Linked DNA regions of Macaca mulatta. The protein of the gene in region 4 purifies or fractionates together with the protein of the main gene of each other region. This does not show direct contact. Links are inferred from orthologs where the notes say so. Each region holds a gene or a part of one and is shown on either strand. Other genes may lie near its edges.

Region 1 (3,930 bases), on a different chromosome or scaffold from region 4:
GAGAACATGACTTATGGGGAAGGCTGGCAGATCAGTTTGACTGGAGAACAATAACAGATGAAGTTGGAGAGTTGAGGGTCAGAGAAGAGTTGGTAAAAGGGCTCTGAGTACTAGGAGCTCAGAGTTAAAATGTAGGCAACGGGAAGCCACTATCAGCTCTAGCAAAGGGAGTGGGGATTCTTTCAATAGCTGTGAGTAGGAAGGATTGGAATAGAGAAATCTGGAGATAGAAGACCAACTGGTCCTCTGGATGAAGTGACAGGAACTTAACCATTGTGATAGCTGTGGGAATAAAGAAGAAGGGAAAGAGCCGAAGGATATTGTAGAAGAAGAATCCATGGACCATGGTAATGATTTGGATTCAATAGGCCAAAGAAAAGAAGTAAATACATTCTGATTTACAAAATAGGCCAGTCAAGCATCAGCCCTTAGTAAGTTTTTTATTTTAAATGAATCAACTTGAAATAATTGTCCCTGAAAAATATTTTAATTATCTGACCATTAAGGTAAGGTAAAGATATCTGCTACACAAAGAAACTGGATTCCTGCATAATACTTATTAATAGACATTGTTATTCTTGATTTCTTAAAAACAAATTTCTATAAAAACATTTCTAGAAATACTTGTTTAGACTTGTTACATAAACTTTTATCTGGATGTGTTACTATCAGAATATAATAATAAAAATAACTAGGAACATATTCAGTGCATAGATCTATTTTATATATATTCATAAAGGACTCTATAAAAAATTTTAATTCAAATTTTTAAAAATTTCTGGAAATTACATAATGAAGACCTAGGTCCTTTAACAAAATAAGAGTTAAGATACTGTAGAAATAAAAAGAAGAATGCTGAGAAAAGTCTGAAGACTAAAAGTGTTATTTAAGTGGTTAATTTACTCTTAGTATGGTGTTTTCCTTTTTCATAAGCTAAAGTTTTTCTAAATTGCTTTAATAAAATTGTAATAAGATAAACATTACCAAAGAGCAGAAAACAATACACACACACATGCACACATACATTTTTGGTGAAAATCACTATATTTCCACAGTCAGAAATTTTTAAATTTTATTGGTCATTCAGGATGAAGATGGCAAAAATAAAATGAAACAAATTAATTTTATAATGAGGTAAAGATTCAAACTGAGCATAGTAAGGAATAAATCTTTCATGCCCCAACCAGGTCCTCTAGTCCTTCAATTATTATTATTACTAACTATTGTCACCAATACCTTAGAAATCCTTCCAGAGATATGCAAAGCATCGACATACAGGAAGATTATTTTGGATAGCAAGATGAACATGGGAAAATAATTTTTTTTTCACTCTACAGTTAGATCTTCTTTTTTTGGGTTTTATGGGAGGAAGTGAAGAAAATCAGTTGAAAAATAAAGAGAATGGGAATTTAAACCATAAAATCAGAGACTATAAGTAAGGAATTGGATTGTGTGCTGCAACTGACAAGCATCTCACCTATGAATTGAAATTGAGAAGAGGAGGAATGAAGGATGGAAGCCAAGCAAAGTCTGTATCTAGGATGAGAGTGGCAACAGAGGGGAGGGTGTGGCATAGCAAATGTGAAGACATGTCAAGAAATAGGGTCTTAGTTGGTATGAAATGAGCAGGTAACAAAGAAAGGCTGGAACCCAGCATAGCAACCATGGCTCACATGCAACACGAAAGGAAACTGCAACACCAACAAGGATCACCATCTCCTCGGTGCGTCCTACCTCATAGCTGCGCCTATCCTGGGAGGTCAGTTCAAAGCAGGATTCTTTCTTGGAATCTCTTCGCAGGTGGGGGGCCATCCGAACACTGTAGCCCTTAATGAGGAAGGTCCCTTTGGGCTGCTTGCCTGCAAGACAGGAAAGCTCCCTGTATCCCTAGAGAGATGCAACTGCCAAGGGAAGGCATCTTCTCTGGTATGTAAAATAAAAGCACAGAAACAGCTGTTACATCCCTGAGGAACCACAATAGTCAAGGAAAGGTTATTAGAGAAGCTGAAGAAGAGGCTACTGCGACAGTAAGGCAGATATCACTGCCAAGCTAGGGAAATGCAACGTGAAAGGTTATTTTGCCAAAAGAGTACAACAGAGACAGAGAATTTATTAGAATGTTAAGAGATCTATAATAACAGAAAGAAGGAATTATTACAGCAGGGAGAGTGTGGCTGTAAATGTGAGGCTCTTGAAGGCTATTATAGAGCTGAAACATTATTATCAGGGCCAGCAGAGCTCACATTTGAGGGGAGGGACAGCAGCACAGGGGGGCATTATAAGGTCCCAGAATTGCCTCCCATGCCCTATGTAGCATTTGAGCTAAACTTCTCTCCCCCTTCCCTGCTGGTCAGGTGGGAATTTATGCTAGAGGGAGAATGATTAAAACTCAGTATTTATCCTCCTTGTAAGAGGTCAACCTGAGAAGTAGCAGAATAATGTTGAGTATTATTAGATGACGAGGAAGGAGACAAAAGGAAAAGGACCCTAAGTGAAGAGAGACTTCTGCTTGTCACTACCAAAAAAAAGTGTTAGAAACAGAAAAAGAGGAGGTGGCTCTCAAGAATTTTTGTCCTCATTGTGTGGTTCAGGCAGAACACATAGAGAACAGGAACCACAGTGTCTGGGATGCTTTGAGCTCTATATCATGTGAAATGAATTGCTTAATAAATGCTTTTTGATGATGATAATGATGAGAAGGATGGCAGTGTGCTGACAATATTAAAAAAGAAAGAAGAAGAAAAAAGACTCTGTCCTCACCTGGTTAAGCTAAAAGAAATACACAAACACTATTCTTACTAAGAAAATGTCATGGGCACAATAAGAAATAACTGGCAAGAAGGGAGCCATGGAACAGTGCTTTTTGACACCAGAATCTTTTTTGTTAAAGTATCTCTCCTTGTTCTAACCGGCCACTAAAATGTTTTGTTGTTTCTTTGGTCACCAGATTTTATTTCACCCTGATGGCAAAATGGTCAATAAAAGCCTCTGAGTCTCTTGCTCTTACTGTCCCCCCTCCTTTCTCACCGTGAGTATGGAAGATTCTGAATGAACAGATGTGACACACCTGGTTTTATATCTAGATATGCCAACCACTTATTTAAATGCAAAAGAAATGATGAACATATTTACAGTGACAAATGGCATATTAGTTTGAAGGTTTAAAATAAGAAAAGAACAACTGGCTGGGTTGTATGCCTATAATTTAGAGGAGAAATTGTGGTTGCTGGGTTTGAGAGCGGGTTGGGGGTTGGAAGGACACATGGGACTTGTAGCTCAGTTTACAAACTATGCTGTTATTCTTTCCAAACAGGGCTTTAGCCTTTGCCCCTAGATGGGAAAGGTTCTGAGGGATGTAGGATGGTGAAAGGTAGGCAAAGGTCTGTGATAACTACTGCAGGCAGGGAGGCAGCATGAGGCAATTGCTACCAAGCCCAAGGGCAAATCTTAAGGATTTCAAGTAACTTAGCAAAGATTCAGTGTTTTAAGAAAGAGTCTCGTTCTGTTGCCCAGGGTGGAGTGCAGTGGCGTGATCTCGGCTCACCACAACCTCCACCTCCTGGGTTCAAGCGATTCTCCTGTCTCAGCCTACAGGCACCTGCCACCATGCCTGGCTAATTTTTGTATTTTTAGTAGTAGAGACGGGGTTTCACTGTGTTGGCCAGGTTGGTCTTGAACTCCTGACCTCATGATCTGCCTGCCTTGGCCACCCAAAGTGCTGGGATTACAGACGTGAGCCACTGCGCCTGGCCCGAGGCTGTATTTCTTTCTACTACCTTAGTACTGCAGGTGCAGGAAGTACAAAGGCAACTGGGTGGGTGTCTGATTATTCCCTACATTGGATATCCAGGCACTGGGAGAGGACTATGTTTGAGGAAGGAATAAGAAAGGAGAAACAGAAAATGACTGCAAGGAAAAAAAAGGCTCTAC
Region 2 (3,930 bases), on a different chromosome or scaffold from region 4:
TTAGCACCGGAGACTCATTGATTAAAGTTGCCCGACAGGTCCTCTCAGGGGCTGGAGGAGAAGCAGAGGGTCACCTGCTATCTTATGTCTCCTTTTGGCCCACAGGACCCCTGCCCTTTGGCTCCTGGGAAACTGAATGTCCAAGACAGGTGGCTACTCATCGCCTAGGTCCCCCCTAAAAGGAGAATGATTTCTTAATATTGAACTCAAAGTTCTCCTGCTTTATCAGTGCCCTCACTGGCCAGAAACACTTTTGGCATTAGCTCTTGGGCCACTTTTGCCCAGCCCTTGCCTGCCTGCCTCTCAGGGACACTAGACCAGCCTGGGGCCGAAGCTGAGTAGATCACTTTCCCTAGCACCACAAAAGGCCAGGTCCTCCCACATCCCTGCTCTCTCCCTCCCTGTGGGTTCTATGCATGTTTCTGGACCCACAAACAGCGGTCCACTACAGAGCAGTTTTTGCCAGGTGGCTAGCCTCAATTTCCACATCTATGAAATGGGCACGAGACTCCCTTCTTCCCAGGGTTTTTGGCAAGGCTGGGCATGTGAAGAGCATCAGCCTGCGTGGGTGTGGGGTACTGTGTCCACCCACCAGAGGGAACGTAGTTATCGTAGGGGGCCATGTAGTTGGAGGACTCGATGTCGGCATATTTGACATCTCCTTTCATGTCCAGCATGGGCACGTAGTCCACCGACTCGTCCTTGCTCATGTCCATGTAGCCACCATCGCTCTCCCCAGTCAGGGACACGTGGCTGGGGGTAAAGGAGCATCACAGAAGAGCCTGGAGGCTTTGCCTTCCCCTCCCCTCCTGCCCCTTGCCACTCATGAATTTCTTCTCTCACACACTCACTCATCCTTCAGGCTATCCCAATAGGAATGCCCATGGATCGACCCTTTTCAACCAACCTGCTGGGCCAAGCTGGGCACTGAGGCTGCCAAAATGACAGTTAGAACCCACAGAGCTCACACCCAGAGGCGATGACAGCGCCCCAAGGCAAAGGTCACAAGATGGGTGTGTACAGAGGCGCCTTCCTGTGGCCTCCCCAGCGCCACCTGGCCACAGGAGTGCCTGGCTGCAACCCAGTGTGGGCAGCCAGGAGTCACCCCGATACCTATGCCTGTAGCGTCAGCTCCCCAAAGGGCTGTGGGGCTCTACACACATGTCTCTACGGGCAGGAAAAAGATGGGAAGGAAATTGATCAAAACATTGGAGAGGGCAGGAGTGAGCTTTACAGTCTTTTACGCTTTTCTGAAGCTACTCTTGTCTTTGTTTTTGTAATCAGCAAAAGAACTAAGAAATGTTCTTTTTGGAAAAGATGAAGAAAGGAGTTGAGCTCCCTAAGGGGCAGTGTGGAGGCTGGTGTGTAGAGGCTGTAGACAGGAACACAGTCTGGAGCACCGCTGCGCAAACTGGGAGCTTGGCTCTCGTCTCACCACAGCCTCTGTCCCTTCCTCCATCACTGCGTGCCCGGGACTGAAGGGCAAACACCCACGACACAGGGATGGCATGTCACATGTGTAGAGGGCTTAGCAGCACAGGGCCTGGCATCACTGTTATTCCCTCATCTCGGGTGGGCCACCTTCTAGAACAGCCCTAGCTCCAGGGGTGATTCTGTTCCCTGCCCTGTCACAGCCTCAGCTTCTCCTCCCGGACAAAGGGAGGGGAAGGAGCGGTGCTCCTCAGGTATCCCAAAGATTCAGTCCCTGGCCTCCCTCCTGGTACCTGGGCAGGGGGAGCCCAACGGGCAGCGCATTGCTGTAGAGCTCCGCGCTGGGCGGGCGGCGCTTGTCGGAATGGTGCTGCAGGAACGTGTGCTTGTTGCGGTGCAGGTAGTCCACCAGGTCTCCGTAGCGGCAGTACTCAGTGATGATATAGATGGGTCCTGCGGAGGGACAGGCTCAGGGACAGTCCCTACGGAGGCCTCGGGCGTCTCCTCAAGGCCACGAGGCTAATCAGGGGCTGGATGTGGGAGAGACACTTTGGCATGACGGCTAGGAGGCTTCAGTGCCTTGCAAATCTGGGTTCTTTTCCTGCCTCTGTGGTAGAGAGCAAGGTACTGAGTCTCCCTGAGCCTTACCTTCCCCAGCTGTTAAGTGGGGTAATTAAACCCACCACAAAGCACTGCCATGAGGATTAATGAGATGATGTTTTTATTGGCTGGGCACGTGGCAAGTCTGCAGTGTTGGCTCTTATTGATATGTTTTCAAACTAAAGCTTACTTTGGAGCCCAGTATAGAAAGCAGATAAAGGCCACTGTTTACAATAATCACTTCAGTAGTTAAATTCAACTACAATGCATTTACTTAAAGTCAGTCAGTGAGAACTTGAAGATATCTACGCGAACAAAAATTTTGAAATGAGTGATCATTGCGGACGTGAATAAGTCTATGTACCCAACATACTTCTGTATTTTGTTTTGGTTGCATAATGCTGAGGAAAATCCCAGATCTCACAATAAGCAGCTGCAAATGGTGATAACGTTTTTTTTTTCAGCCTAACTGGCAATCAGAGCTTCAAATAAACACAGTTGGCCACAGAGACTTTCTTCTATGATCAAATAAAGGTAGCTCCCAATTAGCAAGCTGGTGGTCTCCAATGGTGGGCGTATAACGCATCTTAATGTCATGTGAGCTGTTATTTATTGGTTTTCAAAATGTGTTGTAAAAATAAAAGCATCAGCCAACACCATGGTCTGGAAGCTGCTGGGACTGGTGACCCGACTAATCGTTCAGCCGAGAAGGTGTTGTGACGTTGTGAGTTTCTAAACCCCACTGCCCTCTGGGACCGTGCAGTGGGGGCGCTGGAGTGGGGGGGCACGGACCCTCCAGCAGGAGTGTGCTGTTGAGTGAGGCCTGAGGAGGTGGTAGGCGGGGCCTGGCCTTGGTGGTGGGCACTTTCCCTGAGTCCTCTGGGGCAGTGGGTTCGGTACCTCCTTTGGTGCAGGCCCCCAACAGGTTGACCACGTTCAGGTGGGGCCCAAGGTGACTCATGATCTTCAGCTCCGACATGAGGGCTTGCTTCTCACTGCTGCGGGCTGTGGCTGAGGAAAATGGGGGCCCCAGGGCAGGCCCAGTTATGGGGGCTCCACGGAGGCCCCACCACAGGAGCCTATTCTGACTCTTCTGCCCCGCCCTGTGCTGCAAGACTCATGCAGCCTGGCGGGGGGTGAGCACCCACACTGTGAGGAGGGGAAGAGGCCAGGGTAGGGGGAGGCAGCCCAAGGCGGCCAGGGTGAGGAACCCTCTTTCCCAAACCAGACTCGGGAGCAGCGCCTGCTGCAGTGTGATGGCCCCTCTTGTGCCTGCTAATCAGCATCAGGCCACCCTGGGAGAGGCTAAGTGTGTGGGGAGGGGCAGGGAGAGGTGAAGGCCCAGATGTGGAGGGCTCCAAGGACTACTCACATTTAAGCATCTTGACGGCCACTTTCATCGTGGCCTGAGAATGGCTCAGGCCATGAGCCGTGGCCTCCACCACCTGCCCAAAGGCCCCAGAGCCGAGGGTGCGTCCTGGTGCAGAGATGATCCCTCAGCTCCTGGCCTACCAGGAAGCTGCACCGCTCCCCCCGCTGCCCCCTTCCCCCCGACCCCCCGCCCCGCTGCCACCCTTCCTGCCCAGTGAGGGGAGAGAGCCACTCTCTTAGGTCAACCTAGACATTACTTAAACCACCTTGGACTCAGGGTATTCCCTAAACACACTCCTGCAACCACAATGCCTCCCTGTCTTTCCTGGCATCTCATCTAAGTCCTGCCTGCTTTCTGCCCCATCTTTAATCTCTGGAAAGTTTCTTCCCTCCCCAAGGAAGCACGCTCCTCTGTACCCCCTCAGCTTCCCCAGCCAGACCCGGCCTGCCACTCAGCCTGTCCTCAATTCTTCCACTTTTGTCACATAGGGGCCCCGTCTCACGGGGTCACAGGATCATAGAATCTCA
Region 3 (3,930 bases), on a different chromosome or scaffold from region 4:
ATTTTCAAGAGACTCACTGAATTTTGTTTGATGGCTTGACCAATAGGTTGACCTGCAGCCGTTTTGCAAATTGTAAAGTGAATCCAGTTATCTAAAAAGAGAACAACTAAATAATTACCAACTTTTTAAAACATTCTTTTATACTATTCAAAACTTATTTTTCTTACAGCAGAAGAGAAGGTAGTAACTTAAGGTTAAACAGGACTACTTGAAACTTTTAAAACTCTCTATATAGTTATATTTATATACACACGCATCCATATAGATACACAATTTATTTGCCCAATCGAATGTCAAGGTTTTAGTTAGATTTGTGATTTACTTGAAATGGTTTAAAGAAATCAACAACAAAATATAAGATCTCAGATAATTCCTGGTCAAATATATATGCTGTTAGAATCCATGTATCATTAGTTATAATACTACTTGTGTCATTGTTTAAACTAAAACATGACTAGTAAAATTCTAGAATTTCATTTACTTTTTGAAAAGGAAAATACAAAAATAAAGATTAAAACTGTTGTGCTATAACAATTTTATAAATTTTAACAATAAGTATAGTCAAATTCACATACACTCACTCTTTGAATTTTACGTAATATACAATAACTCCTCATAAGCATAATTTTATATAAATATTTTAAGCCAATTAGAATCACTTCATAAACAACAATAGGAAAAAATCGACGTAAGTTTCAGTAACTTAAAAGAATGTGATTCAATAACTATGATTAGTGTTATCTCCAAGATTATTTTTATTTCAATTGTATTGTTTAAAATAGCAACCAAATCAGATCAATAATGTGTTTTCTTACAGGTTCAATATCCAAGTATGTCCTATGTTCTTCTTCATTTGGGTTTAATCCATCAATAGTTTCTGAAACGTCAGGACTTGCATATAGAAAATGAGGAAGTGAAATGTACACAGGTTTCCCTGAAGACAAGTTTTAAGAGTCAATTGGAATTAATAGCTTCCTTCATTTCATATATAACTCAAAAAATATTTCCATAAAACTAAAACTTCTTAAATTAAAAAAAAAATACATATTTTGTTTTTAACATGGGTGGGGAAGAATTATATCAGTTGATTTCTACTGTAAACCCCTTCAGTATTAATTTTCAATATATAGAGTTTTGTTGATGAACCCAAAGTTTCCACTATATATGTTCAGCTTTCAGGCAGTAATATGTCTAGGGACTAAGAATTTATTTAACAGTAGTTTTTTTTTTTCTTCCTCCACACCCATGTTAGTATGATAAATATGTACAGTATAAGCTAGCCTCCAAATTTTATGTTTAACTCTAGCTTTAGATACATACTGAAAATACATTTACCTGTACCATTTTCTAGTGAAAAAAGTTAGAACAATGACAAATGGATAACAGGATGCGCAAAGTGTTCTCGGAATTATTTTCATTTCACCCTAAATCTAAAAGCAGCCACAAAGAAATGCTAGTGTGGTTTTAACTAAATTTTGTAACACTGAAACACATATTTGGGACCTTCCCAAAATACAAAATCAGCACTAAAATTTTCTGCCACCATTCTGCCCTAATTACTTTCTTACTTTAATTTTAAATTTTGCTTGCAAAGGGATTGTGGTAAAGGTCTCATTTTAAAGAATATCACAAATTATGATATGGACTGTGCTGCTGAGGATATTTACTCACCTTCTTTGCATTTGCTGATGTCTAGCACACCATATGATGTACAATTTTTTGAGATAATTTTTTCTGTGCAGAAACAATGGTTGTCTGGGTTTTGAACTGGAGAGGCAAAGGCCTTGGATGGAAGAACAAATCTATACACAGGAATTCCTTTCAGATTAACGTCGGATTCAAATACAGCATAGATTGACCTAAATACAGAGAAAAAAGAGCTGCATTCCAGGAACCTGAACTTACATTCTGGAGATTCATTTTTTCTTATTCTTGCTTTACCTTACAAACATCATACACTCTATCTTAAATTCTTGTTTCATTCTTAGGAAAAAAAGTGATTGGGAAATTTTAACACATACTAGAACTCAATACCCAAGTATGAACTATTCTTGTTTGTGAAGTACCATGTTTATTTATACCAAAGTTAGTAAATATTTATAGCACTTCTTTCAAATACTTTATTTGTGATCAGTTTAAATGAAATAAAGTTTCTTTCACAGCTTAATTAGTCCTGGAGAGAAAGACCACTCACTGGAGTGTGTGCATATACATGCTGGATATATACCTGGTACATTTCCATCATTTACCAAGTGTCTACTTGTATAGAACCATAGGGTTCAATACACATTTTTTTTCTAATCCCCAGATACACCTATATGAAGAAATACTGCTGTCTTAAATTTTACAGATAAGAAAACAAATCCGAGATGTTAAATGCTTACCCACCATCATACAGTCTTTAGGGACAGAGCTTGGGCTTGAGGGTAGTGGTAAAGGCTCCAGTGTTCGTGGGTTATCTACTGGGCCCCACAAATTTGAGCAGAGCACATGAACACAGTTCTGTTACATCTGCATCATCTTCTCTGTATGTCTTTAGAAAGACTGGACTTACCCTTCTGAACTTCATTGTTATTAGACTACTAGTTTAGTTTCAAAAAGGCAAAATGGTTCTTGCTTAGATAGAAATAGCAAAAAAATGATTTACGCTATTAAAAATTGGAAGATATAGAAGAATATTTTGCAGAGTTAATAAACATTATGAATTTTCTATGCTGTGTTTAATCATTATTTGAGAAAAATAATAAAGTTTCTTGGTCTGCATTTTGTCACCTGGGGTCTGACTCAGACATACTTCAGTTTTTCTCTTACCTGCAAATGTCGGAAGAAAAGAACTGCAATACTTGGCTCTTCTCAACAAAAGGTGGAAACGAGGCTGCATCTGTTTAAAAATCGAGTGGCAAATGATGAGATGTAATATGTGTTCTAGAAAAAAACCTAGAAATCTCTCCTCCAGTGTAGTCAATGGAAATATAATGCAAACTACCTAAGTTATTTATCTAGCAGCAACATTTTTAAAAGGTAAAAAGAAATAACCGGCCAGGCACGGTGACTCAAGCCTGTAAGCCCAGCAGTTTGGAAGGCCAAGGTGGGTGGATCACCTGAGGTCAGGAGTTCGAGACCAGCCTGGCCAACATGGTAAAACCCCATCTCTACTAAAAATACACAAAATTAGCCGGGTGTGGTGGTGGGCACTTGTAATCCCAGCTACTTGGGAGGCTGAGGCAGGATAATTGCTTGCACCCAAGAGGCGGAGGTTACAGTGAGCCAAGATTGTGCCATTGCACTCCAGCCTGGGCAACAAGTGGACAACTTTGTCTCAAACAAAACAAAACCAAATGCTATTTTATTTAACTTATTAATATTCAAAATATTTTAACATGTAACCATTATAAAATATTTTAAAATCCACGGTGCATTTTATATTTACAGCACATTTCAAATCATACTAGCCGTATTTTGAGTCCTTAACAGTTACATATGGCTAGGGGCTGCTATAGTCAACAACAAATCTACATACTATACATATTTAATGGTACAAAATAAAAGAAACTTAAACATAAAATGAAATGTCAAGGCTAACATTGTGTTTGTTTTTTGAAATGCCCCACCCCACCAGCAGAGTGGCACTTTTCTTCCAGGGAAGTTCATTTGGAACTCCTGCTATGTCCACATTTCTTATTTGTAGTGATTTTGTTTTTCATTGGCCCTATGGCTGATGAATACTTCTAAAAATACTTACTAAAGTTCTCTCACTAAACAGAACTTCAAATGCTTTGAAAGTATATAAAAAAAGTCATTTATTGAATTTACTTTTTGCTACAACTATGATCCATGGCAAACACTGGATATATGAAGAAATAATTAGTTAACTCCTCCATGTACTTCTCACATGAATATCACTAATACGAGTCGTCATTGAATAAATTT
Region 4 (4,416 bases):
AGAGGAAGTGATGGTGTCACTTCCAGGCTAAGGTATTTCAAAAGTGGGTGTGCCCCGTCTACTCTCTCTGTTGCCCCTTCTGTAAGCTGAAACAGGTTCCAATGGTAAGCTATGGGATGGTGGAGCTAAAAGATAGGGGTGTGGGACCCAGAATCACTGCATGGCAGAAAGCCACCTACAGATCAGAAACATGAACTTTAGACTATTAAATGAGCAAGAATAAACATCTATTGCTTTTGAGCCATTATATATTTGCAGGCCTATTTGTTACAACTGCTAACATTAGCCTAATTGATACAGGTGTTGAACACGTACCAAAGACCTAACTCACATTTGTTGATTGTTAAATGAAACAGAGTACCCACTAAGATAAAACTTGGTAGGAAACAAGATAAATAAGATAAGGTTCCTTTTATCAATGTGCTGACCAACTAATGGTGGAAATAGACTCATGCCAAACGTAGTAACTGCTGCCAAAGTTTGAAACCAAAATATGATGATTTGTTTGGAAAGGAGAAGATGGAAACGGCTTCACAGAGGAGATGACATTTGAGCTGGGCGCCAAAGGTTAAAAAGGACTTCAAGGAAGTCAGATGGGGTTAGAGATCGCAGACCCAGGAGAAAGCAGAGTGTGCATTTGCTCACATTCAACCTTATCATTAAGTCTCTCAAACTTGGTCAACAGAGTGCGAGTTTATGTGCTCTGGCTTTCCTTCCTGGGTCCGGCATCAAACAAACGACCCTTTGTTTTCACAGTACACTCATTAACCCTATTGCTTTTTTTAATGTAAAAAGCTCCACGATTAATGTTCTTAAAAAGCACATAAGTAAATGTTTCACGAATCATAACTCTTTTCTAATAAAATTACTGAAAAAGAAACCTACAGTTCTGTTACTTATAATAGTCGAGGAGCCATACTTTTAGGGAAGAACGGGTTTCACTTAAGTTTTGACAATATCGATTAAGCGTGTAATAGTCACTGGTTTACAAAACGGAACATTAAGCCCCCAGATTTACATTAACATTTCCTCCTTAAAAAGAACATCAGATGGTTTAGACTTCAGTCAAGATTCTCTACAGCCCCAGTTCATAGCCAAGTGGCCCCAAAGCCTCATATAGTTAAACCACTTCCTCCAAAAGTCTGCGAGTCCCTTTATCTGAACACAGGGTAACCATGGAGCAGGGACTGGGGAAGAAGACAGTACAAAGGGTGGAAAGTATTGCAGTTGCTTGGGTGGTGAGAAAGGAAGTGGGCGTCCCAAGACTACCTTGAAGCAGGCAAAAGACAGTCTGCAGTGGTCTTCCAAATGCTAACTCTAGACCGTTTTATCCACGTCCCCAGGTATTTACTTCAATAAAAGGGTAAAACAACATCACTGGGCTGACAGGATTTCATTTCAAAAGACATCAGCACAGTGACCTCTTAGACTTGATAGAAGAAGCCAGTCAGGTTGCCTCCCCCTTATCAAATACCAATTTAATTCTGATTCAGAAACAAAATTCTTGTGACCCCCACACCAATTTACTCTACCCCAGCTCTTAGTACTTGTCCCCAAAAGAAGAGGGGAAAGAATAGGGATAGGGAGGCTACCTTAAAAGTAAAGCAACTCTTAAGACTGCTGGAATAATTGTCCCCTTAAATCTAAGAAACACTGCAGCTGCCAGTCAACACTACTGGTCTGTGAACACAGCAAAATGCCGACACCTGCCACCCGGCATCTGGGGGTTCTTTTATTTTTTGGTAAATGTGGCAGGAAAGACTCAGAGAGACCAACTGCTTCATGGGAAAGAAAGGGAAGCCCCAGGGAGGAGAGACAAGAAGCATCGTGCCTATCCTAGGGTACTTTGTGTGTCTCCTTTCTATGCACTGAAAGGGCTCTTTGTGTCACACTCACACTCACACACACACACCCGGCGAGTCTGTGTGATTTATTGGGGGAAGGAGGGGCAAGAAGGGTGATTTTATTATCCATCTTCCCAGTGAGTCCCAGCACATCTCTCCCTGGGCCCAAGCTCGGTGGCCTCCTTCTGGCCCAGTCCCCTCCGCCTGTGGCCGCAGAGATAAGAGAGGGGAGGAGCCCAAACAAAAACAGCCATGGATCTAGGGAAGTAGAGAGGAAATCCAGAGAGGGAGCCGGAAAGGAAGGAGAAAGGAGCTGGAGGGAGCAGAGGGGTGAGGGACAGAGGAAGAGAAGGAAAGGCTCTAGCACAGGGGAAAGGGGAAGGGTGGGTGGGTGGTGGCACAGGAAGAGTGAAGGAGAGGATGGGGGAAGTGCAAGGGAGGTGCCAGAAATAGGCAGGAGGATGGGTTGGAGAAGGCGACCGCCGCCGAGGGAGGAGGCCGAGAGGTGGAGGAGTGGGGCAGGGGTTGGGTGGGGAGGGAAGCAGCACGGGGCATCAATTATTAAGTGATTACATCATCCCTGACATTAAAACAACACACACAGCCCCAGTCCCCGCTGGGGGCCCCGAAAGGAGGGCGGGGGCGGAGTCTGGGCCAGCCTCACCCCCAAGCCAATTCCAATTTTCACTCGGCGCCCGCTTGCGGGCGAGGAAATGGGGCCCCCATCCCCGCGCCGCCTCGGAGCCGCACCCCGCAGGGGTGTCCTCGGGTGCAGCCACGCGAAGACCCCGAGCGCCGACTCCCCAGCAGCCCCGCGGGGCGCCCCGGCGGCCGAGGGACCGCAGCGCCGGGCCCCGCGGCGGGGGCGGCGTGCGCGGGGGCGCCGGCGGCCGGGCGTCTCCGCAGCATCCCCGAGGCCTCTCGCGGCGCATCCCCGCCGCCTGCTTACCTGCGCGGCGCTCAGGCTCCGGAGCCCATTCACATGGTCCTCTCCCCGCCCTCCTCCGGCGCGGCCGAGGCGGCTCCGGGAGCTCCCCGGCGGGCCCAGGAGCCGGTGGGCCTTCCGAGAGCACGGAGGGGGCGGCGCCGGGGTGTCCCCGGCCCGGCGGCCGGATCCCTCCCTGGTGCGGGCGGCGGCCGCCGGGCGGTGCGACGCGGGCGGCGGCTTTGTGTGCGCCCGGGCGGTCCTCGGTGCGCCGGGAGAAGCGCGGCGCGCCCGGGCGGGAGAGGACGCGCCGCTCGCAGGGCAACCTCGCCTCTACTCTCGCCGCCGGCCGGCGGGCGGGTCTCGAAGGCCTTCGGCTCGCGGCGACCCCTCCTCCTCGCCCGCGGCAGCCCCCTCCTCGCCGGCTCCGCTCCTGACAGATGGCGCAACTGCAACGACGCGCCGCCGCCACCACCGCGGCTGCTCGCTGCTACTCTTGCTGATGCTCGGCCCCTCCAGCTCCGGAGGGGAGCGAGGAGGGGGCGGGGTGCGCCCCGAGAGTGACAGGCCCCGCTGCCCTATCAAGGAGCCCCTTGGGAGCTGCGGGCCTCAACCATTGGCGCCTGGGGCGTGGGCGGGACGGCAGTGGGTGGGGCCGCCGAGTGGGTTGAGCGTTACTGTGGCAGCGGGCATCCCAGGGTGCGTGCGGTGCAGGGTGTGCAAGAGGATGCGAGGTTGGAGGAGGAGGTCTGTGTGTTTTTAAGGATTGTGTGGAGTTGTGAGGTGGCGGAGTAGGGCGGGAGAAAGAGCGGAAAGTGTGAACTGCAGTTTCTGCTTTGCGGAAGGTTGCAGCTGCTGCTGCAGATTGACACCTGCCATTCCCCCCAAACCATGGGAACCTGCCTCGAGACAGGGCTATCTTGCCTTTCTGGTGTCTTTTCATTTGAGGGTGAGAGGATGAAATGGAAAATTGTCTGGACGGTGATAGCAGCGTTTTCTTTGATCAAACTGAAAAGAGTAGCGAACAAAGTAGAATCCTGTCACTGAAACGTGGAAACGCACAACAAATAACAATGAGGAGGAGAAGGAGATTAGGATCATTTTATCAGTCCCCTATTTCTGGAGACACTTATTTATATTTCTTTTCTAGCAAAAGTCTAGAGGAAGTATTACTGAAATGGGGGGAGGGGCGAGCAGCGACTAAAGAACCTGAAATCACAGAGATTTGTTCGTACATTTCCCCCCACAAAAAAACCTTGTTTAATTGTAGCCATTGGTTGTCTTTGGTTTCTTATGACATTCAAACCTCTCATGTTTTTTTTCCCCTTCACAGAATCTGAGCTTTTGCTCAGATTTCCCTTGATGAAATAATTGCCGGTTTAGTATACAGTTGGGAGTGCATCGGTCTTTATTTCCTATCCAGCTTTTCTATGGCAGGATGTAACTTCATGAAAAGAAACACTTTGGCTTCCTGATTTTCTTTATAGGTAATTCCTGTTTACTGAAAGTTCTGCTTTAAGGCATACTCAGAATCGCTCTCCTTAATGATTTTGGCAAGAACCCTACCTTTCCCCCTCAGCAAATCTAATGTTCTAAGAAATTATAAGTGAATCAGCTTCTGCTTCTGTGCTCAAAAATCTATAATAT

What was found.
Region 1: the proteins of FYN (region 4) and SKAP1 purify together in Homo sapiens (affinity purification with western blotting; 3 studies listed by BioGRID and IntAct, with this or other methods). This does not show direct contact. The link is inferred for Macaca mulatta from reciprocal best matches to the Homo sapiens genes FYN and SKAP1.
Region 2: the proteins of FYN (region 4) and PDGFRB purify together in Homo sapiens (pull-down; 3 studies listed by IntAct, with this or other methods). This does not show direct contact. The link is inferred for Macaca mulatta from reciprocal best matches to the Homo sapiens genes FYN and PDGFRB.
Region 3: the proteins of FYN (region 4) and CD36 purify together in Homo sapiens (affinity purification with western blotting; 3 studies listed by BioGRID). This does not show direct contact. The link is inferred for Macaca mulatta from reciprocal best matches to the Homo sapiens genes FYN and CD36.

Annotation. Positions count from the first base shown.
Region 1 is NC_133421.1:61,830,384-61,834,313, reverse strand, and holds part of SKAP1 (src kinase-associated phosphoprotein 1), read right to left. Parts: intron 1,860-3,930; coding exon 1,735-1,859; intron 1-1,734. UniProt on the Homo sapiens protein: Positively regulates T-cell receptor signaling by enhancing the MAP kinase pathway. Required for optimal conjugation between T-cells and antigen-presenting cells by promoting the clustering of integrin ITGAL on the surface of T-cells.
Region 2 is NC_133411.1:159,091,142-159,095,071, forward strand, and holds part of PDGFRB (platelet-derived growth factor receptor beta), read right to left. Parts: intron 3,509-3,930; coding exon 3,404-3,508; intron 3,043-3,403; coding exon 2,932-3,042; intron 1,885-2,931; coding exon 1,725-1,884; intron 754-1,724; coding exon 593-753; intron 52-592; coding exon 1-51. UniProt on the Homo sapiens protein: Tyrosine-protein kinase that acts as a cell-surface receptor for homodimeric PDGFB and PDGFD and for heterodimers formed by PDGFA and PDGFB, and plays an essential role in the regulation of embryonic development, cell proliferation, survival, differentiation, chemotaxis and migration.
Region 3 is NC_133408.1:138,809,462-138,813,391, forward strand, and holds part of CD36 (platelet glycoprotein 4), read right to left. Parts: intron 2,882-3,930; coding exon 2,812-2,881; intron 1,860-2,811; coding exon 1,672-1,859; intron 935-1,671; coding exon 816-934; intron 92-815; coding exon 18-91; intron 1-17.
Region 4 is NC_133409.1:16,943,370-16,947,785, forward strand, and holds the start of FYN (tyrosine-protein kinase Fyn), read right to left. Parts: upstream 2,867-4,416; 5' UTR 2,794-2,866; intron 1-2,793. UniProt on the Homo sapiens protein: Non-receptor tyrosine-protein kinase that plays a role in many biological processes including regulation of cell growth and survival, cell adhesion, integrin-mediated signaling, cytoskeletal remodeling, cell motility, immune response and axon guidance.